Linked DNA regions of Canis lupus familiaris. Each later gene encodes a partner of the first gene's protein in a complex. Links are inferred from orthologs where the notes say so. Each region holds a gene or a part of one and is shown on either strand. Other genes may lie near its edges.

Region 1 (7,456 bases):
ATATAGTGAGTGTATATTATTTTCTTAGTTTTTAAAATGTTTTCATGTTCCAAGAACTGTGCTAGGTTCTAAGCAAATAATAATATATATGTTTTCTCAAGAAACAGCTTTATTCAGATATGACTGATTCAATCAACGCATATACTGTGATTTAAAGTGTATAATTTGGGGGCTCCTGGGTGACTCAGTTGGTTAAGTGACCAACTCTTGGTTTCAGCTCAGGTTTTGATCTCAGAGTCATGGGATTGAGCTCCACACTCAGCAGGGAGTCCTGAGATTCTCTCCCTCTCCCTCTGTTCCTCCCCTGCTTGTGTGAGCACTCTTTCTTTCAAATAAATCTTGTAAAAAATGTATTAAAAATAAGTGTACAATTTGGTAATATGTACAATTTGATATATGTATAAACCCAAGCAACTAGTACCACAATAAAGATAATGAATATATCTATCACCCCCAAAGTTTCCACATGCCCCTTTATAATCCTTCCCTCTGCCCTCACCCCATAGAGGTATTATTCTTAATTCTTCAAATAGGTCCTGTAATTCCTTATAAACACAAACTTGATTCTACTATTTTTGAATGTGGTCTTTTCTCCTGCTACATTTTAAAATTGGAAATTTAGGAAAGCTATTTCTCTAGCTACCTTATTAAGCTTTGTTTCAATTCAATTCATTCCTGTGGATGTTCCAAGTAAGCAATTCTAATATCTCAAAAGATTTTTTTTACCTTTTTCTTTCATATAAATGTATATATATTTACTGTTTTATTTTGTTTTTCTTTCCTGTGTCAGTTAGGACTTGGGGAAAATGTTGGCTGGTAGCAGTAGGCCTGCCCTGACAACTTCAGGGCTCCCAGGCATGAACACAAAGAGTTCCACACACTGTATGTTTAAATATTTAGAGATTATAAATCAAGCTAACAAACTCTTAGATTAAAAAGCTTTATCCTGCTACCTTGACACACCTCAGTTATAGCAAACATACATATAACAGTCCAGAAGGCTAGGTTCAAATTTAGAGTCCTTGAGTGCCACGTCTCCCTACAGTGGTTGAGGCAGGTTTTTAGAACTTATTTTGAATGACCTTCATTTCAAAAGATCTTGCTTAAGTGACCCTTGCATGGAAAACATTTTCCCATGGCATGGCTTAATACTTTAATTAATTTCTCTTATTAAAATTCAAAATTCCAAATCCTTTTATTCCCAGAATAAAACAAACAAACAGAACAACCTTCATTACACCCACAAAGAATCTCCAAGTTGCTTAGATTTGTTTTGTTTTTCTTTAGGTTAGAAATTGCCTATCAAGGCTTTCTCAGAGGCCCCTAATTTTGTCTATAATCTCCACCTCTTCTCCCACTCACTTGGGAAACCTTAAGACCTGAGTTTCCTGAGCTGTGGCCTGAACATCCTGATGACTGTCTGAGGATAATATTGTCAGGGGTCACATTCTAGACAGGTCATCTGAACATTCACAAACACTTAAGAAAGGCTGGGTCTGGAAGTTAGGTCATGGGACCCGGACAGAGCTTCAAAGCCAACCATCTGCTTGGTCATTGGTAGCAGCTGGTAACTGGAAGAGCTTGAGAGGGAAATTAGGAAACCCAGTGGAGTTCCCAGCTCTGTCACTAAGTAGCTGAACTGAGTGAGTCACTTAAAACTCTTTGTTTAACCTCAGCGTCATGATCTATAAAATTGGGATAAGGACAGTAGCATGGTCTCCCCCGGCTTTGATGGGAAGGAAAATCACAACTCATCCGAGCTTCAATTTCTGCACCTGTTACCAGTTGTTAAGATTTGCGTCCTGTCCATCTCACGAGGTTTGGGGGGGGGGGGGGGGTGCGGTGGTGAATGAGAGAAGGCACAACCTTTCGGAGTTTCAGTTTCTGCATGTGTAAAAAGCTCAGAATGCACGGCCAGCCTGCCCATAAAATTCCTGTTTAAACAGGAAAACAGGGCAGCCCGGGTGGCTCAGTGGTTTACCACCGCCTTCAGCCCAGGGCCTGATCCTGGAGACCCGGGATCGAGTCCCACGTCGGGCTCCCTGCATGGAGCCTGCTTCTCCCTCTGCCTGTGTCTCTGCCTCCTTTTGTCTCTGTGTCTCTCATGAATAAATAAATAAAATCTTAAAAAATAAAAAAAAGTAAACAGGAAAACAGACAGCAAACTTTGCAAAAATGTAGAAAGCTATGCGTGTGTGAATTACGTCCTACTGAAAAGACAACAAGCAGACCTAAGAGGTGATTGTAGGTCTCTTTCCTCCTGGCTCCAGGGCTGCAACCCCGCAAACAGACGCCAAGCCCACTTTCTTCAATCCTCCCCGCGGCCGGCAGCCGTCACGGCGTCGGCGGCCCCACCCGGCAGGGCTCCTGCGGGCCGGGAGGGGGCGTGGCCCGGGACCGCCCCGCCCCTCGCGACGCCCCGCCCCCTGGCGACGCCCCGCCCCGCCGCGCCCGCGCTTGCGCCGTGCACAGCCAGCGGCCTCGAGCGCCCCGGCGGGAGGTAAGGGGTTTGCGGGAGGCCGCCTCGGGGGCGTCAGGCCCGGACGGGCTTTGAGGGCCGGGCGCTGAGCCCGCGCGCCGCAGAGGCGCCCCCTGGGGAAGCCCGGCCTCAGGTCCCGCGTGCCCGCGCTTGGGAGGCTCCTCCCGGCTCCCCGAAGCGCCGGTTTCGTTTCTGGAAGCTCTTTGCGAAGCCGGTGTGGGGAGGCGGCCTCCCGGGGTCGCGGGGTGCGAAAGTTCCCTGCAGCTGCCGTGCCCGCGGCGCAGGCTGGGCCCGGGGCCGTCGGGGTCGCCCGGGTCGCCCGGGGGCGTGGTCCCAGGCCGCCCGCGCATCCGTTCTCTGGTTGGGGCGGCGGGGGTGGGGGGGGGCGCCGTGGGGCTCGGGGGCCCGCGAGGGGCGGAGGACCCGGACCCGGAGCCGGAGCCGGTGCTTCTGGAAGCTCCCGCAGCTGCGCCCTCGATAAGCCCGGCCTGGGAGGGCTCAGGCGGGAGACCCAGGGAGCAGCAGGGGCCGTGACCTTGCCTTCCAGAGTCCCCGGGTCAGGAGCTCGGGGAGGCCTGCCTGGGGCCCGTGTGGATCCCTGCCCTGGGAGGCGGCCGCTCGTCGCTCTGGGGGACGCCGAAGGTCGCTGGCACTTGGGGACTTTTTCTGAGAAATGGGGCTTTTTAACTTATACAGTAAATAGTCTAAATCATGTAGTAACCCCCCCCCCCCCCCCAGTACTTTTTTCTCACGGGAAACAGGAGTAGTCATGGTACCCAGGTGATGATAGTAGTCGTAAGCCCCGAAAAGGGTCAGGGTCGTTTGTAGAGCACCTGCCCCGCAGGCCCCCGCCAGTGTTAGTCTAAGTGACCCGTTTCCGGTGAAACATCAGACCTTCCTAGAGAGTCTTTTTATTCTTGAAATGATTTTCCAGTTACAGAGAGGTGGCAAAAGTAACAAAGGTCTCTGCAGCCCCCTTTAATGTTAACACCTTATATAACCATAAGTACAGTCATAAAAAATTATAAAGTATCATTGGTACGTTTTTTTGTTTTAAGATTTTATTTATTCATGAGAGACACACAGACATAGGCAGAGGGAAATAGCAAGGCTCCCGCCGGATTTGATCCCAGGACACCAGGACCACAACCTGAGTCAAAGGCAGACTCTGAGCCACCCAGGCGCCCCTCGTTGGTACAATTCTAGTGACCAAATTGCTACCTTTTTCTCGGATTTCCTGACTTTTTTATACTAATGTCCTTTTTTCCCCCCTATTTCAGGATCCAGTATAACATCCCACATTGCATTTAATTGGCATGGCTCTTTAGTCTTAAGTCTTTCCTAACCTTAACGCTTTTGAAGAATCCTGGTTAATTATTTAGCAGAGTGTCCCTCAGTTATGTTTTGTCTGGTATTTTCTTTTTCTTTTAAGATTTTATTTACTTATTCATGAGACATACAGGGAGAGAGAGAGAGACAGGCAGAGGGAGAAGCAGGCTCCATGCAGGGAGCCCAACGTGGGACTCGATTCCGGGTCTCCAGGATCAGGCCCTGGGCTGAAGGCGGCGCTAAACCACTGAGCCCCCCGGGCTGCCCCTTGTCTGGTATTTTCTTACAATTAAAGTTAGGCATTTTTAAAGTTATGCATTTTTGTTGATACCACAGAAGTGGATGTACCCTTCTCAGTCCATCCCACGAAGGGTTCATGTTATGACACACTGCTTTTGGTATTACTGTTGATCACTTGGTTGAGGTGTCTGCCAGGATTCTCTAATGTAAATTAACTGCTTTCCCCTTGAAATGAATGGATATCTTGAGTTTCTAAACTATGCAAATATGTTGTTCTCCTCAAACTTTCAGTTGCTGATTTTACCATCCATTGGTGGATCTTGCCTTCAGCAATGATTACTATTATGTTCTAATGGTGATTTTTTGTTTCCCCTCATTCCTTCTTTTATTTTTTTATTTAAGATTTTATTTATTTATTAACGAGAGACACAGAAAGAGAGAAGCAGAGACACAGGCAGAGGGAGAAGCAGGCCCCAGGCAGGGAGCCTGATGTGGGACTCGATCCCAGATCCCGGGATCACACCCTGAGCCAAAGGCAGGCACTCAACCGCTGAGCCACCCAGGCGTCCCCATTCCTTCTTTTATTAATTGGAGTTCTGTAAGGAAGGCTTGCCCCTTTCCATTTGTTTAGTCAGTTATTTTTTTATATAAGTATGAACTCATTTATTTTACTTTTTGGTTATTTTTGTTATTTATTTATGTCTCAGGTTGTTCCAGCCTTGGCCCTTGGGAGTTTTTTCAGGTTGCTTCCTTTTGACAGGCTTCCATCTCTCTTTGAGAACTTCCTTACTTTCTAGCACCATAAGATGTTCCACGTTTATCTTGCGTTTTCTCTGCCCCAGTCCTGGATCACCCACTTCTCCAAGGATCCGTGATTTCCTTTTTTGGAGAGTGGTATTTAAACACCAAGATCAGGGCACTTGGTGTGCTCATTGCTACTAGAATATTATTGTTTGTGGTTCTTTGCAGAAAACAGCTAGGACTATATGTAAATATATATTTTATTTTTATAAGTATTTTTCCTTTATATATAAATAAAATATATCATTCTATTTATTACTTATGTAATTATGAAAAATTAAGTATTATATTTTATTTATATCGTTTGTTATGTTTATTTGTAAATATATGTTTCTTAGCTATATACATATATATCCACATATTTCATGGATACACAAAGATTTGTTTTGTATTTAAGTGTGTCTATGTACTCACATCTGAGTATATATATTTTTAAAAAAACAAAAATTCATTCTGAGAGTTCCATTTGTAAACCTAAACCACAGGGTTCAGTCTACCCATGCCTCTTAATTGTTACTTCTTTCTTTGACAGAAATCTGATTTTCATGCTCTACAAAATATTCTCTTATTTCTTCAGTCCTGGTATACACATAAAGGATTTTCAGGATTTCTAACACATATTCCTATAAAAAATAAATTTTCTAATTAGAACATAGTAGAATCGTATATAGTTCTTATGGTCTTTAACCTTGTAGTATCCAGTTAGAATAGTGTTTTCCAGAGTTACTTAGGTTATTTTCTTCCTCTACTTTTAGTGCGGTTATGCTATTCATTGATAATATAGTTTCCTTTCTTATGGTTTGTGTTCCATTTTGTGTTCCTCCACATTTTTTGTTTTTTAATTTTCAAAAATTCATTCTTTGTAATGTGCAATTCCATGAGTTTTGACAAATGCATATAATTGTGTATCTACCACCACTGTCATGATATAAAACAACTATCACCCCAAATATTTCATTACACTTAAAAAAATATTACAAAGAAATCAACTCTACAAAAGTTTGGAAAATTAGGCATTTTTCTATGTTTTGTCTTTTTCATAAGCATATTTTACACAGTTGTGAAGTTAATGTAAATGTATTTTTTTATTTTTGTCATTTAATTATCAGAAGTATGTTCCAGTTTTTTGAAAAATCGAGATGGTGAAATACATTTACTTGTTGTTCAATTTTATTTTATTTTATTTTTTATTTTTTCAATTTTATTTTGAAACTATGTCTTGAATGTTGGATTATACTTTAACAACTTACAAACCATATTTGTGCTATTTTATGATTGGAGCCACTGCTGGACAACTTTCCATTTCAGTAACATCATGACTTTTTTTTAAAGATGTGATTTATTTATTCATGAGAGATACAGAGAGAGAGAGACAGAGAAGCAGGCTCCATGCAGGGAGCCCGATGTGGGACTTGATCCTGGGTCTCCAGGATCACGCTCTGGGCTGAAGGCAGGCACCAAACCGCTGAGCCACCCAGGTATCCCAGTAACATCATGACTTAAGCAATTATTTGAACAATATGTTCTCATTTTAGTTTCTGTAGACATTTTGTTGTAATTTATAAAAAATGGAAATGATGGAGAAGAGAAAAAAAATACCGGCCAAAAGGAGAACAAGAATTGGAAATGTATGTTGGGAGGTTCCTGGGGTGGAATGTCTTCCCTGATAGATGGTCTTTATGAGGCGGTTGGTTTTCCTTGGATAGAAAGCTGAAGAGCAGAATCATGCGTAACTCTGACCTAGAAATATCACTTCTGGAACTGGAAAAAATCTGTCATTGTAGCATAAGGAAACAGTGTCAAGTCAAACATCCAATAATCGGGGTTTTTTACATATACTATAAACTGATTAGTGGAGGAGAAAGGAGAATCATTAGAGTTGTATATAAAATGATACATAAATTTTAGAGGCAGATGGGATATAAAAGGGCATCTAAACAGAGGGAGCATCATAGCAAAGCCCAAAGTAGAAATTGGGTGATAATACTTAGATTGAACATTGTATTTTCTTGTTCAAATAATAGGGAATTCTTGGAAGTTTTTGTTCAGAGGAGAACGTTGCAATTGGTGTTCTAGAAATATTAATTGGTGGTAATCTGTGAGGAACAATTGGAGAGGGGAAAGAGTTTAAAGGGAAGCCAATTAAGACACTTGTAAGGTGCTGTGCATTGCACTGTTGGAGTGATGGGATTAGTAATAGTGAAGAAGGGACATGTGAAGAAATATTTTAGTTCCATCAGCACCTTTTGAGAACCAGTATTGTTAAAAAAAAAAAAAAAAAGGAATGGTGGTGGATAAAAACGTATCTTCATATAGTATATAATCTGCATGACAGAAAAAAAATACAAGCAATGTGATAAACTGGGAACATTGTGAGACAATCGGTAATTTATGAGTCTATTATATGTTGAATATAATAAGAAAAAGACATCCCCTGTAGTAAAATAGATATAGCACCAGCAGGCAATTCGTAAGAAGAAAGCAAATGGCTAATAAATCAATGCCACCAGTAATTTAAGGAATGTAAAATAAAACAATGAGACACCATTTTTGAAAGTTTAAGGAGAATATAGTACTATGTGTTGGTGGGAATATGGATATTTGGAT
Region 2 (6,998 bases), on another chromosome or scaffold:
TTAGGCAACTGAGCCACCTCGGTGCCCATCACACTTTTTATTTTATTTTTTTTTAATCTCAGTATATCCGGACACCTGGGTGGCTTAGTGGTTGAGTATCTGCCTTTGGCTCAGGACATGATCCCAGAGTCCCGGGATCGAGTCCCACATCGAGCTGCCTGCATGGAGCCTGCTTCTCCCTTTGCCTGTGTCTCTGCCTCTCCCTCTCTCTCTCTATCTCTCTCTCTCTCTCTCTCTCTATCTCTGTGTGTCTCTCATGAATAAATAAATAAAATCTTTAAAAAAACAAATAAGTAGGGCAGCCCCAGTAGCGCAGCAGTTTAGCGCCGCCTGCAGCCTGGGGTGTGATCCTGGAGACCCGGGATCGAGTTCCACGTTGGGCTTCCTGTATGGAGCCTGCTTCTCCCTCTGCCTGTGTCTCTGCCCCCCACCCCCTCTCTCTCTATGAATAAATAAAATCTGTAAAATAAAAAAATAAATAATGAATTAATAAATAAGTAAATCTCCGTATACCTATAGCTTGTCCTTTGCTGTCCCAAGTGCCAGCACACTCCCTGAGGCCTGGGATGACCTCACAGATTTTACTCTCCATGGAACGCAAGGTTAGGGGTTTTAATAAATTCAAGAAGCATAGAGCTGAAGACAATTTTTAAAAAACAGATTCTGCTTACATTTGTGGTGTTAGTGCCAAGTATTTGTGTATTCTGACCTTTCTTAATGTTTTATCTTTAATTCACAAGGTTTATGAAGCACCTCCCCTTCTCTCTTCCCTCTGGCTTTTTCTTGGCCTACTGCACCTAGTAAAAGGGCAGAAGGCAGCTGTGGGCATGCACCCCACTCCCACTGCGTACAAGTACATACATAGGTACACATACACACACGTGCACGCGCACGCACTGTCATGAAGCCTGAGAACTGACCGAATCAGTTAAGTCAAGACTCACCTCTGCAGTTGGCTCAGCCCAATGAGGGGACCCCAGAGTGCCTGCAGCATGTCTCTTCCCTCCATTGACTCTGGTTCTCTTTATGTCACCTCTGCTTGGTACTCCCTCCACATACTCTAAGACCAATCATGTCCTTACAGGTGTTATTCCTCTTAAAAAATGGATGTGATCAAAAAAAAAAAATGGATGTGATCATTGACTTTTAACACTTTTTGAAACAAAGGGAAAATACTTATTACAAAGAGTGGGAAAGCCAACCGAGGGAACTAGAATGAGCTCAGAAGGGACCTGGCACCAGAGTGGCTAGTTGTGGCAGGGCTGCTCCCCAGTGGCCTTCCTTTCAAAGGCAGTCTCCCTCAGCTGTGATCTGGGAGCACGGATCAGAAGAGGGCCCGCCCGGATTTTTAACTCAGACCCAGTGGGACTGACCTGGGTTTCTCCCCAGCCCGCACTTGTCCTGCACGGAAGTGGAACTCTCACCCCTCATGTTTGAACTTGAATATCAGCAGGAATGATGTAACCTATCGCTAGGGCTGAAACTTTGCCAAAAGTCTGTGCCCCACTGTCCCCTGGGGCTTGCCCCAGAGGGCATTACTAAAGGGACCCAGCACCTTTAGCCCTTAGTTCCTTTTGACATGGGGACCCTGGACTACAGACATCTCCGTACCCAGCTAGCCACCAAGTGGGCAAAGGAAATGGTGCCAGCCAGATTCAGGTTGTGTCATACCCCAGGACATTCGCAGCATTGATGTGTGCATGGATCTGAGAAGTGGTAGCAATGAATGAATTGATGTAGGAAAATGTGAATTATCATAACATAGGTGACAGGACCTCATAGCATTTGGATGGAGTGGAACCATCTGTAGTTCATGTATTTTCTGGGAGAGCGCCCCAGGTGGCAAGGTAGGGACAAAGCACCTATTTCTCATGCCACCTGCAGAGTGGAAGAGGGGGTGGGATGTGGCCTTCTCCAAGGTGGGAGCCTGGAGCAGGAGCAACCAGGTGCAGGGGCTTCCAGGTCTGTCTCCCAGATGTGTTTCCAAATAGGTATTCTCATACTTGTTACTCTGAATCTGTGCTTGATCCAGCTTTAGGGGGCTGGAGATGGAAGGAAGAAAACCGGGCACTGTTGAGTTCTACCCACTGACATGAGGTTTTTGCTCCTGAAGAGCACGGCAGCAGGTCTGGCTGTTGGTTACCTGCATACTTCTTCCAGATACTCACTATGGGGTCTGGGAAGGGAGTGTTTTCTAAGCCTCTACGTACTTCTCTCTTTCTCAGGTACTAACTGATCTTGCAATGTGCCTCCACCTATTAGAACGTTCAGAGGCACCCAAAACATGATGTAGATCTGTATGTATTTTTTAAAGCACTAGAAGGACAAACATCATTGTATGAATAGTGATGATCCTGAGCAGACATCTAGGGGAAAAGTGGCTTTTACATTAAGCACATATTACTTTATGTGGAGTCAGCTGGTTTGCTTTTTACTTGCATGAATTTTGGAAAATGTAACCAAAGCCCTAGAGTTCTCCTTGTCTTTTGAGAAAGAGCACTCAGTGATGTGCATGTTGCAGAGCACCGGGCACGGAACAAGCAGAGGCCCCTGCTGCTGTGACTTCACTCAGCCCTGTATGTCCTTTCCCTCTCCCACAGATGAGCTGTCCGTGGGACTAGGCCGGCTGAAGGACATAGCCCTGGGGATGCAGACAGAAATTGAGGAGCAAGATGACATTCTTGACCGCCTCACAACCAAAGTGGACAAGTTAGATGTCAATATAAAAAGCACAGAAAGAAAAGTTAGGCAACTTTAAACACCGAGAAGGCTCTCCACCCCATTGTGATGAAACGAGCCAAAAAATCTCCTGTTAAACTTCCCAAAATTTAATTTCTGTTGTTTTAGTGTGTAACGTAATATGTGTTTGCAAATGTTATAATTATAGAGCGAGTTGAGTCCTTGGAGATGTCATGATGAGAAATGTGTATCCTACTTTTTTTAGAGCTCTCACCTCTCCATTGTCTGAACTGAATGCTTAGAGTCTTAATCTGAGCACGACAGCCTGGCCCTGAGTATTTTGGGCCTTCGATGACCTTGCTGACACCAGAAGAACAGTTGCATTTCTCACTTTAACGAGCATATGGAAAGACATGGGCAGAATTTCAATCCTGGAACCACCAATCTCTGTGGTGGTGTTGTGAGGGTGGTCCTTCCCACATCTTGGCTTACCAGTCACCATTCTCCCACCCCCACCCCAACACACATACACACATACACTGAGCACATTGCGATTCTCTCAAACCCCAGAAAAGGATCAATGTTCAGAAATGGAAAGTGCCAGCGTTTGCTATTTGGTTGACAGATGTCACCTCTTCCCTCCTGGCCTCCATCCTTGGCATGCATTTTAGTAGAAAGGGTTCAGATCAGCACCACTCACCGTGATGCCTGGAGATGCACAGGGAATTGGGTGAGCCCTGCTTCCCTGTGCACTCTCACCTCTAAGTCACTGACTGAGGTTAGGGACAGATGCACCATTGTCTCAAGGCTGCCCAGCTGGCCAGTTGGGGGCCCTCTACAGTTTGTGAGAATGGAGCATCATACAGTGCTTACCCTGTGTGCTCCTCCCCAGAGCACCTGACCCAGCCTCGGGGATGGCAGTGTTTATTCAACGCCTGGGGTCTCCTGGCCCATTTAGGATTCCCACCCATTCCTCTTGACCTCTTGCAACATGACTTGACTCAGCTCTTGGTTCTCCGCCACCCAGTTGGAGGACTGGAGTGCCACAAATGATGCAGACTTGTCTAGAACAACTTAGCTTTAAAAATAAAAGCCTAGACATTATCATTTTAACTAGCCTAGCTTGTTCTACACAAAAACATTAATCTCATTACAGAAATCAATTTTAATTAATGCTTTTAAGTGATTCTTTCTTTGTAAAGTGACATTCATTAAAATTGATTTCTGTAACGAGATTAGCGCCTTTGTGTTGGTACCTCCAGCAGAGTAATTGAAGCCGCAAGACCCTTGTCTTTTTAAAAAAGCAAATTAATTGAAATATTTTGAAGACCGTAAAAGGCGCTGATTTTAATAAAATAGGCTAGGTCAGAAAATTTAAAACAAGTGTGTTTCACCTCAACACATGGTGCTGTCTATGGGACCTTCACCACTTTGGTTCTGTAGCCTATAAAGAAAGCCCCCTGAAGGAAAAGAAATCTCTGCAGTGCTGCAACAGTGCATCCATATTTTTGTAGCAATTCATTTGTAGTAGTTCCATTCCATGCTGCATGGCATTCCTAAAAACACTTGACAGCTTCCGTCAGTAGATACAACCTTCTGTCATGTTCCAGCCAACTCATGGAATCTGATCAACGTCATTATGAATATCCCAGTATGTGAGAATACGATTAGAGGTAGTCAAATTAGGCATTTATCAGATGAGCTCATCGTGATTATTCTCTTGATAAATGGTAAAAGGAAAAGTTTTAAACACCTACCTAGCCCAAACAAAATGAGTTCGGAGGGCTTTTAGCAAAAAAGGCTGCTGACAAGCATGAAGCCAGAATGCAGAGCAGCCTGTGTGTACATTTCCACTCCTAATTGTTTCTTTTTTTTTTTTCTAACACCTTCCACGTATGTCATGATGGCTGTTTCTGTTCGTCATCATCAGGCAGAGAGACTCATGGAGATTAGTCATTATACCTCAGATGCAAGCTTATTTTTTTTTCAAACAAATTATACATGTAAAGGCCACTGCCAAATATTCTTTTCCCCAGCCTTCCATTTGCGTAATGAGATTAGTGATTTCACTGACTTGAAGGAAAGTGGCGTGGAATATTATACCCTTTCCCTGTCTTTTGTTAGAACATTGAAGCCAGTTGCCCCGTTTTTTCTCCCCTCTCCAAGCATATAGAAGGAAAGCACAGCCACTTTTCTAGAAATGTGTCTTCTGACACTTTACATGTGTATATTAACTCTTGTTTAGACCCTCTTACACTAAGGCCCTGACCAGGGAACTGTCTCCAAGCTACGCACTGGGAGCTCCTTTCTGCTGGGTCTTCCCCCTTGCCCTCCGGCTCATGAAGGACCAGTGGTTGATTCTACCTTATAAAGCAAAGTTGCTTGCATTTTCAGAGAACAAAGAGAAACCCGGAGCTTCCAGAATCTTTGCACATGATGATTATGATCAAAAAACATTCTATCCTCTAGACTAGACACATCTGTCTCATGGAGACACTCAGAGATGCGTGGGCTGGAGTGAATTCACCCTTCTTGCCAGATGGGGTCTATAAGACAGGCTTTTATTTCCACAGTTGAGCTGGAAACAAACTGTGCCTTCAAAAAGTGGCTTTTCTAACTTTAGGTTGGTTTTATGTGAAGCGTGCTACTAACTTAAAAATAAGTGCATTCTCTTTCAGAGGAAACATTCTCACATCTAGTGATCTGGAGTTAACATTGTCTTTTTTGCATTCTGAAGGAAAGGAGCCCTGAATTTAACTCAGGTGGCAAGAAAAAAATTCTTAAGTGTATTTTAATTTATCTTTCTCTAACTTCTGTTTGTGAATATGTAATTTTAAGGGTGCACTACACCAATTTAGTAAAAAAAAAAAAAACTCTTACACTTTGCCTATATAGGCCTTTTCTCAGAATTTGTAAGTTATCACCATTGTTAGCATCTTCAGCTCTGATAATGAAATGTCTTGTGTACAGAATGATGAGCCAGTCATCAAAAGTGCTCGGAGCGGCAGGGGGGCATTTTGTTCAGAGTCTGTATCAGAATAGCTCTTAAGCTCCATGCCTTCAACTCAACAAGTGACCATATTCTGTAAAATAAAATGTGAAGTTTTTTAAATCAAATTCTGTCTCCTGTGTAGTCATTTTCAAAGAGTGGATGGAAGGGCTCCTCCATGTTGAGTCTTCGTATATTTGGTCCTCATTGCCCCATCAAACCCTATGAATAAGCTTCCTTCTCGAAGCCCTCTCATTTCATCTTTCAGAGTGCTCTTCCAATCTGTCTCCTATCTCCCTGACCACAGTGCAGCACTGTCTCGATAAGGGCTCAGCAAACAATAAAGGGCCAAAGAGTAAATGTTAGGCTCATGGGCCAATCTGTCGCAACTACTCAGCTCCTCCATCGTAGCAAAAAAGCAGCCAAAGGCAATATATAAATGAGAATGGTGTGTTCTAATAAAGCTTTATTTATGGACACTGAAATTTAAATTTTATATATTTTCACATGTCACAAAAATCTGATAATTTTTTTTTTCAATCACTTAAAAATACAAAAACCACTTAGCTCATGGGAAGTACAAAACATGGTGGACTGCACTTGACCCATGGGCCTTAATAGTTGGCCATCCCATTTAAACTACCACAAGGTATTCCTAGGGGCGGGAGGATGAAGGATGGCTGGCCACTATATTCTGCAAGTGGATCTCCTCAGGCTTCTGGCCCTTCTAAACATCATAGTTCACCAAGAAAGGAGAACAGGCTAGCCTAACCTTGGCTCCACTGTCTTGCCTCTGCCTTCACATCTGACCACAGGAGTAGAAATTGTTTCTAGATCTGAAAGCTCTAAAAAGGCACGGAGGGATCCCTGGGTGGCTCAGCGATTTAGCACCTGCCTTTGACCCAGGGCATGATCCTGGACTCCCGGGATCAAGTCCTACATCAGGATTCCTGCATGGAGCCTAGCCTGCTTCTCCCTCGGCCTATGTCTCTGCATCTCTTTCTGTGTGTGTGTGTCTCTCATGAATAAATAAAATCTTTAAAAAAAAAAAAGGCACCTGGAGCTTAGACCATCTTGAAAATCTTATCTGTCAGTAGACTGGCTTCGTGGATCCCAAAGACCACCCTGATTTCGTGGATATCATCTTTGAGCATCATTATAGATAAGGAATAGTGAGGATCTGAACTTAGCAGCAGACTTTTCTGGGAAGACAAGGAACAGATATTACATAGAAACAAAAGCAAAAAAATCAAGGTGGTTCACATTTGGGAGCTCCAAGTAAAAGAACGTCTAGAGTTTGAAATCTGGGTGGGTGAGGACATGAGGAAGG
Region 3 (7,595 bases), on another chromosome or scaffold:
ATGGTCACAGGTAGAAGCTTCTGGTTCTAAAAGCACAGTCAGAAAGAGAATGAGACATCGGGAATGATTGGGGGTGGGGGGGTGGAGTGTGACTGTCCCAGATGGGATAACCAGCAGTATAACAGTTAACAAAGGGGTTTGGAGGCAAAAGAGGCCTTGGCAGTGGTGAGAGCTTTCTGATCCTTCAGGGAGCAATTCCAGGTGTGCCTCCTGAATGCTCCTTTTCCTTGTTTTCCAGCCTTTCCCCAGAGAGCTATAGAAGCAAACTCCCCATTTATGCCATAAATAAGAAGACTAGCATCGAGGTCAATGCACTCTCAAAGTTTGCCTGGTTGCTTTGCAGGCTGTTAATATTCCTCTTCCACTATTGTCTAATCTTATTTTCTCTATCAGTCTCCTTTTTCACTTGTAAAGTGCTTTAGCAGGAATATAGAAATATATATCTGTATTATTTAACCCTAATAATAACCCTGCAAAGCAGCTTTCATTCTTCTTCCCATTTTGCAGATGAGAATACTGGTGCTCCTAGAGGGAAGTGGCCTGCCCAAGTCTATATAGCCAGGGAATAGTGGAGCTGATACCCAAATCTTCTGATCACACAGGCACTGAGAACACTCTTCATCACATCATGATTGCTTCTTTAGTACAACTCTTACCATCTAGCATTTTTCTTTGCAAAGTGACTGCTACTCCATTTCTCCTGGGATAGAGCCTTCCTTGACTGCAAAGGAATCGATGACTTATTTCTCTTCTCGTACCCTGCCCATAGTACCATTTCTTTCTTTCTTTCTTTCTTTCTTTCTTTCTTTCTTTCTTTCTTTCTTTCTTTCTTTCTTTCTTTCTTTCTTTCTTTTCTTTCTTTCAGATTGATTGATTGATTGGTTTATGATAGACATAGAGAGAGAGAGAGAGGCAGAGACACAGGAGGGAGAAGCAAGAAGCAGGCTCCATACTGGGAGCCTGACGCAGGACTCGATCCCGGGACTCCAGGATCGCGCTCTGGGCCAAAGGCAGATGCTAAACCACTGAGCCACTCAGGGATCCCCTCTTTCTTTTTTTTAAAGTAAGTTCTAGGCCAAACATGGCTTTAATTCACCACACCAAGATCAAGAGTTACATGCTCTTCTAACTGAGCCAGCCATGCACCCCCCATAGTACCATTTCTGCTCACAGTTCATTGTTTGGTACTTTACTGAATGTCTCATCTTCTGAGGGCATTAGCAAGGTGGTCTTTTGACAAAGGATAGAATTGTGATGTTCCTACAGGAGAGGCCAAGACTGCAGGGGCTCTGCATGGTGAAGAGGAGGGGGAGCACGTTGCAGTCCCAACTGTGGGTGCTGGAAAATCTCCCCAGTGGTTTCTGGGCCTAGGCCAAGGGTCAGCTCCCCCAGGGACACCAATGTATGTCCAAAGCTGCCAGCAGCATGCTAGAGCCTGGTCACTCCTCAAATCTTGTAACCCTGATTTCTTTCTTTCTTTTTTTTCTTTTCAAGATGTTATTTATTTATCCATGAGAAATACAGAGAGAGAGGCAGAAAAATAGGCAGAGGGAGAAGCAGACTTCCTGCAGGGAGCCCAATGTGGAACTTGATTCCAGAGCCCAGGATCACACCCTCAGCTGAGGGCAGACGCTCAACCGCTGAGCCACCCAGGCATTCCTGTAACCCTAATTTCTATTCTGGAAATCCTCCTCCATGTCTTTATGCTCTCCTCAGACATCCTACTTTGTTTCTTGGCACCTATCCTATGTCCCTACCCACCACTGCACTTAGCATCTGGAATCATTAATAATAGTAATCATAATAGCCACCATTTACTGAGGGTTGTTTCAGTGCCAGGCATAGATGGTGAGGTAACTGAGGTTTATAGATGTCACATCAGTCTGTCCAAGGTCACATGAATATTAATGCATAGATCAGTGTGTCTTATAATGGAAATATAATTTGAGCCACATTTGTAATTTTTAATTTTCTACTCATCAAATTAAAAGAAACAGGTGAAATGAGCATTAACAATTTTTAAAATTTAACTCAATAAATCCACAACATCATTTCAACATGTTATCAGTATCAGTTAAGTGTCTGCCTTCAGCTCAGGGCATGATCCTGGGGTCCTGGGATTGAGCCTGGATTGTGCTCCCGGCTTCTCCCTTTCCCTCTGCCCTTTCCCCTGCCTCATGCTCTTTCTCTCAAGTAAGTAAATTAAAAAAAAAAAAGTCTTTGAAATACTTGGGGTGCCTGGATGGCTCAGTGGGTTGAGCATCCCACTCTTGATTTCAGCTCAGATCACTGATCTCAGGGTTTTGAGACTGAGCCCAGTGCAGGGTTCCATACTCAGAGAGCAGTCTACTTGAGATTCTCTCTCCTTCTGCCTCTGCCCTTCCCCTCCTGATGTATGTGTGCCTGTGCTCTCTCTCTCAAATGAATAAATAGATAAATCTTTTAAAAAAAGAAATACTGTGTGTACTCTTACATCACTTCTCAATTCAGACTAGCCACAGTTTAAGTGCTCAGCAGCCATATATGGTCAGTGGCTATGGTAATGGACAGCATAAGTACAGATCAAGGATTCTGACCCATCTCCACTTGACCTCTTTATAGATTTTCTTTTTTTTTTTTTTTCTTCTTTATAGATTTTCTAAGGATGATGAGAAGTGAGACAGCCACATTCTCTGTGAAAGTAGGCTGGTACTGTCCATCAAATTTCAGATTTGCAAAATATAATAATCTTATTTAATTGGAGATAAGATTTCATTATAAAGTAGAATAAAGTATCTCAAAACAGAGGTCCAGAAATTGTCATTTCCTTTAACAAAATATGTGTTAGAGAAACTGACATTTCTCTCTTAGAACTAATAATACTAAAAAAAAAAAAAAAAAAAAAAGAACTAATAATACTTCTGGGATGGGACAGGAATGTTTGTTCTCTTTTGCCTGTCCCTGTTTTTGTTCTGTCTTGATAAATACCATCTGGGAAGACTAGATATTCTGTGGCCTGGAACCAGGTGGTGGAAAAATCCTTTGCCTGGGGCCCTTCTCTTGTCCATAGGGCAGGCCTCTGACCATTTCTGAGTAGGCTCACCAACCCCTCAAAGCGGCTTCTGAAGGAAATGTTGAACTCTGGAAGGGAAGAAGGGATTGGTAAGCCATCATTCCCTCGTCCCAACAGTGGACAGGTCTTCCTTTCAGAAACTGTGGCAGGCACACTGAGTGTGCTATCCTGTTATACGTCCCCACCATCCTCTGAGGTCAGCATTAGCACCTGCCAAAACCAGAGAGGTGAAGAATTTCACTCAGGGTCACACTAGTAATCCGGAGCTTTCTGACACCACAGCCTAGGATTACAGCACTCCAGACTTGGGGGGATTTTAATACTTTCTGTCCACCCCTGAACATGGGAACAGGGGTTGCTAGCAAGAAACTTTCATATCTGTGTTCTGTTTCCATGTGAACTACCCCTGGTGGTGTACTTAGAGTTGACTTCAGTGTTTAAGATTTGGAGTCAGATATTCAGGACATTAAAAAAAAGGGGGGGGGGCGGAGCCAGCTTCCCTATCTATATCAGGAGGTCCAGCCTCAGGAAACCTAGGAGGGCTGCTTGATCTTCTTTTTCTTTTTCTTTTTTTTTTTTCTGGTTCTGATGCGTTAGAAGATCTCTGGTGATCGAGCCCTGTTGCTTTAAGCCCGAGCCCAGGTTTGGGAGGAGACTGGGAGGGCAGCGGAGGGCGCCCGCCTACCTGCCGGCCCGCGCTAGGTGAGGCTGGAGCCGCTCGGGATGCCGGCGGGCGGGGGCAGGCTCGAAGTTGGAGCGAGCAGGAAGTGAAGCGAGGGCCGCCCGGGAGGAAACAGACGAGGGAGTCTCGCCGCCGCCAGGCCCGAGCCGCTTGGAGACATGGTGAGCGCGCTGGGAGCTCGCGAGGGGCTGAGCGAAAGGCGAGCGGGGGCTGGGGGCGGGGGGCTGGGGGCGGGGGTCGCAGGGCCGCTGGCCAAGTCGGAGGGCTGGCCCGGTGCAGCCGGTGGCCGCTCTCCTTTGACAACTTGGCTGCCCGGGCGGCTGCCCCCGCGCCTTCTCCCTCCCCTGCCCTCGGAGCTGGCCCGGAGCGGGGCTCCGGTGGGGGTGGAGGCTCCGAATTCCAGGCCGGGAGCCGCTGAGAGGCCCTTCCTGGCCTCCTCCGGCCCGCCGGGCGCCGAGCCCGGTGACCCCCCTTGGGCAGCGCCTCCGAAGTTCCCAGGGCGGATTCCAGCCCAGCGGCGGGAGCCCTCCCCGTCGGCCCTTCCCTTTATCCTGTCGAGAAACTCCAAGAATCCGTCTCTCTCTGCCCGGCCTAAGGAATCGGGCCCCTCTCTTTAAACACGGAGAAGAAGGCGAAGGGTTTGTAAAAGAACCAGAAGTTGGTTCTCTGTGACAATCCGTCTAGTTTGGACCGGCTCCTGGCCTGTTTCGGAGGTCTAGGGGGTCAGGGAGGGAGGAGCCTAGTAATGGTTTGCCCTCCCTGTTCAAAAACTTTATCAGCCAGGGAGGACTTGCCCTCCATTTCCCTCAACAGCCAGTCTGCTGTTTTTATTTAATATCTGCTTAAGGAGGCAGTGGCAGCTTGGTTGGTGCCGGCACATGGGGCAGTGTGTTGGGGGAAAGCAGAAGTTTATGGCGCAATGGCTCTCCCTCTTGGGGCCTGGCCAGGGCCTTGGAACCCGGTGGCTGTTGCTCTGGGTCACAGCAATTAGGCAGCTCCGGAGGTCTGGGGAAGTCTGGGGCGGGAGCAGCTCTCCAGCTGCTGTCCAGCAGTGAGGGGGGTGTTGTGGCAGCTGAGGGTGTTCTGCTGGCCAGCACAGATATTTTCAATGAGGATCCTTCGGTTAATAGTGGTGGGTTTCCCCCTTGTGAGATGCCAGCTCAGCAGTTCTCTGCCCCCATCTGAGGAGCAAGGCAACAGTGGAGTGGGATTTAGGGTCTGTGTTTCTTTTCCTCCTCAGGGGCCCTGAGAACCTGAAAAGAAACTGGATCTAGTCTGTCTAGCATCAGCACTCACCTTCTGGGGCTTAAAAGTGCATTTGTTTTTGATCACATGAGTAATACATGAAAACATTCTTTGTAAACAGTTCAAGCATTAAAAAAAAGCTAAAGTCCACCTTAGGCCTTCCCCTCCCCTGGCCTCTGAGGCTGAGTCTCAGTTCCTCCACCACTTCGCCTAATTAACCCCTGCGTTGCTGCCCAGGAGGAGGCCAGTGGAGGTGTTGGAAATGATCGTGTGCGGAACCTGCAGAGTGAGGTGGAGGGAGTCAAGAATATTATGACCCAGAATGTGGAGCGGATCTTGGCCCGAGGAGAAAACCTGGACCATCTCCGCAACAAGACAGAGGATCTGGAAGCCACAGTGAGATGGGGAACCCACAGAGGTTGGGAGCAGGGCGGCTGGGAGCTGGGCAGTAGAGGAAGAGAGGGAGGGTGAATTGCTGGGGCTCGGGGAATTGGTGGTGCTGGGGGCAAAATGAATAGGAGGGAAGTCTGCCTTTTCACTTGTTTTGGGAATTGACAAGTGAGCCCCCTGTTTTGATTCTGCTCTACTCCACTATTTGGTACTGGGGTCCAGGAAATGGCTCCAGTGACTGGGTGGGTGGGTGGGTGGGTGGGGCTGATTCTTGGAGGCCTTGTCTGAGACAGAAAGGTAGATGGCCCAGTCAGCCCTCACATTCTTAGGCTTCCCTCCCATGAAACTGATGTTTCCCTTTGAAGATTGCCCTTGACAATCATTTGGACCTGACCTCCCTAAGCCAAAAATATTGGCTCCGGAAAATACTCCTAGGGCCTTTGGCCTTCTTGAGGAGTCACTAGGCAGGGGGTGGAAAACTGCTAGAGTTTTGCTGAGTCTGCTTTAAAAAGAAGCTGGGAAGAGCAGTGAAATTCTTTGATCAGGGGGTCCTCTGCTAGCTGAAGGCTAGAATAATATCTCCCACACATCTTGCTAGACCTCATTCCTTTCTCTCTCCAGCCATGGGCTGAAGCCAGCTGCTCAGGGATGGAGTAACTCTAACAAAATACTCCAGCAAAGGTTGGGGCCTAAGGTTCTTTGTCCACAGGGAGAGACTGGCTGTGGCTTTCCAAGTCTTGTGCATAAGCTTGGGTCTAGTTTCCCTGGGACTTAGTGTTTCTTTCCGCAGCCTAATCTGAGGAGCATGGCCCAGGGAAAGTTAATTTCTACAATTCCAGTTGAGGAGGAAGAGCAGTTTCTCTTACCTCTGACGTCTGTACTGCCCTGGTCTGTCCTCTAGCCTCAGAGGTCCCCATAGGGCACGGAGTCAGAGTCCCAGGGAGATGTGCCCACTTGGAGCTTGCACCCGTTCGCCCCAGTGTGTGCTCTCCCAAGGGCGGATTGTGCAGACAGTGTTGCACTTCTGGGTGTGAGCATATGTAAAAGGCCCCTCAGTGTACATGACGGTGCATGGGTAAGAAGAGAGGAGGGGAGGCAAGAATTTAGAATTCTAAATTTGAATCTGGCCCATCAGATTGTCATGAAGGTATATTTGTCAGGGTAGGAGGACAGAACATTTTTTGTGTAACGGTCTGTTCCCTCAACTGTTCACTTCAACATTTACATGTATAGCATGTGGGCCTCTGTCTTCTTATTCTGGTGGGAGGAGGCACTGGTTCACTCTGCCTTGTCCTCAACAGTCGGAGCACTTCAAGACCACATCACAGAAGGTGGCTCGGAAGTTCTGGTGGAAGAACGTGAAGATGATTGTCCTCATCTGCGTGATTGTTTTTATCATCATCCTCTTCATCGTGCTTTTCGCCACCCATGCCATCCCCACATAGGGAGCCCCTCCCCCCACCCACCCTCTTCTTTAGGGCAACCCTCCATAGCAGGTGCCAAGAAGGGCCCTCTCTTCCATCCTTGTCTGCAGGAAGTGCTGCTGCGTCCTCCTGCCCCTCATTCTGAGGCCCCTCTGCCACACTGTCTGCCCCAGGCACCTTGGTCCCCCGGAAGGAGAGAGTTGGACTGTGGCTGTTTCATGGGCCCTCAGAGTTGGTTGGAGAGATATCCAGAAGGCCCAGCATGGGGCTAGGACACTGATGGTGGCCGGTGGGCAATAAAGACCTTTCAGTATCCCTTCACATGTGAGGTAATTTGTCCCCTTCCATTTTTGCCTTTGGTCCTTCTATTTCTATTCTCCCTGGGGACAGCTTCTGGCTGAGATTCTCCTATTTGAGGCCCCATTGTTGGAGGGGTAGAAAGTGTATGTTTGGAGAAGAAAGATGGAGTCTCCCCATTCTTCTCTATTTTCCATTCATTGTGACAGGTCTCAAGAACCAGAGTTTTCTGAGGGTTTCCACATATGGAAAATTCAAAACCATTTTAGGGTGGTACACAAGACTCCTAAGGGCTTGAGCCTTGCCATGTGCCTTTATTACTTTTCTACTAGAAGTGTTAGCCAAGACAGGCTGAGGACCTCCTTTCATCTCTTTTCTATGGCCCTGGTGCAGTCTAGAGCAAGGTGCTAGAGGAACTGGGCCACTTTTCCTTCTTTTTGGTTCTGCAAAGTTCTTTTGTTTATTTTTTTAATTTAAGTAATCTCTCTACCCAATATGGGGCTCG

The links.
Region 2: the proteins of STX17 (region 1) and SNAP29 are in contact, whole or in part, in a crystal structure (PDB 4WY4), measured with the Homo sapiens proteins. The link is inferred for Canis lupus familiaris from reciprocal best matches to the Homo sapiens genes STX17 and SNAP29. Residues at the interface, in NP_060389.2 of Homo sapiens: Glu170, Trp172, Glu173, Leu175, Glu176, Leu179, Ile180, Ser183, Val186, Thr187, Phe189, Ser190, Val193, Asn194, Gln196, Gln197, Ile200, Ile203, Ala204, Val207, Asn208, Ala210, Ala211, Val214, Glu215, Thr218, Leu221, Gly222, Ala224, Ala225; in NP_004773.1 of Homo sapiens: Arg52, Thr56, Ser59, Thr60, Arg62, Ser63, Leu66, Glu69, Ser70, Val73, Gly74, Ser77, Glu80, Leu81, Gln84, Val87, Leu88, Thr91, Met94, Val95, Lys97, Met98, Asp101, Leu102, Ile104, Ser105, His108, Ile109, Ser111, Ile112.
Region 3: the proteins of STX17 (region 1) and VAMP8 are in contact, whole or in part, in a crystal structure (PDB 7BV6), measured with the Homo sapiens proteins. The link is inferred for Canis lupus familiaris from reciprocal best matches to the Homo sapiens genes STX17 and VAMP8. Residues at the interface, in NP_060389.2 of Homo sapiens: Ser171, Trp172, Thr174, Leu175, Asp178, Leu179, Glu181, Leu182, Leu185, Val186, Phe189, Leu192, Val193, Gln196, Glu198, Lys199, Ile200, Ser202, Ile203, His206, Val207, Ser209, Ala210, Asn213, Val214, Glu216, Gly217, Thr218, Asn220, Leu221; in NP_003752.2 of Homo sapiens: Gly9, Val13, Leu16, Gln17, Val20, Glu21, Val23, Lys24, Met27, Thr28, Asn30, Val31, Ile34, Leu35, Arg37, Gly38, Leu41, Glu42, Leu44, Arg45, Thr48, Glu49, Leu51, Glu52, Ser55, Glu56, Phe58, Lys59, Ser62, Gln63.

What each region holds. Positions count from the first base shown.
Region 1 is NC_049232.1:57,220,934-57,228,389, forward strand, and holds the start of STX17 (syntaxin-17), read left to right. Parts: upstream 1-2,434; 5' UTR 2,435-2,500; intron 2,501-6,306; exon of another isoform or gene 6,307-6,327; intron 6,328-7,456. UniProt on the Homo sapiens protein: SNAREs, soluble N-ethylmaleimide-sensitive factor-attachment protein receptors, are essential proteins for fusion of cellular membranes.
Region 2 is NC_049247.1:30,773,052-30,780,049, reverse strand, and holds the end of SNAP29 (synaptosomal-associated protein 29), read left to right. Parts: intron 1-2,600; coding exon 2,601-2,758; 3' UTR 2,759-5,796; downstream 5,797-6,998. UniProt on the Homo sapiens protein: SNAREs, soluble N-ethylmaleimide-sensitive factor-attachment protein receptors, are essential proteins for fusion of cellular membranes.
Region 3 is NC_049238.1:39,844,962-39,852,556, reverse strand, and holds VAMP8 (vesicle-associated membrane protein 8), read left to right. Parts: upstream 1-3,010; 5' UTR 3,011-3,141; intron 3,142-3,649; 5' UTR 3,650-3,892; coding exon 3,893-3,895; intron 3,896-5,216; coding exon 5,217-5,375; intron 5,376-6,670; coding exon 6,671-6,814; 3' UTR 6,815-7,114; downstream 7,115-7,595. UniProt on the Homo sapiens protein: SNAREs, soluble N-ethylmaleimide-sensitive factor-attachment protein receptors, are essential proteins for fusion of cellular membranes.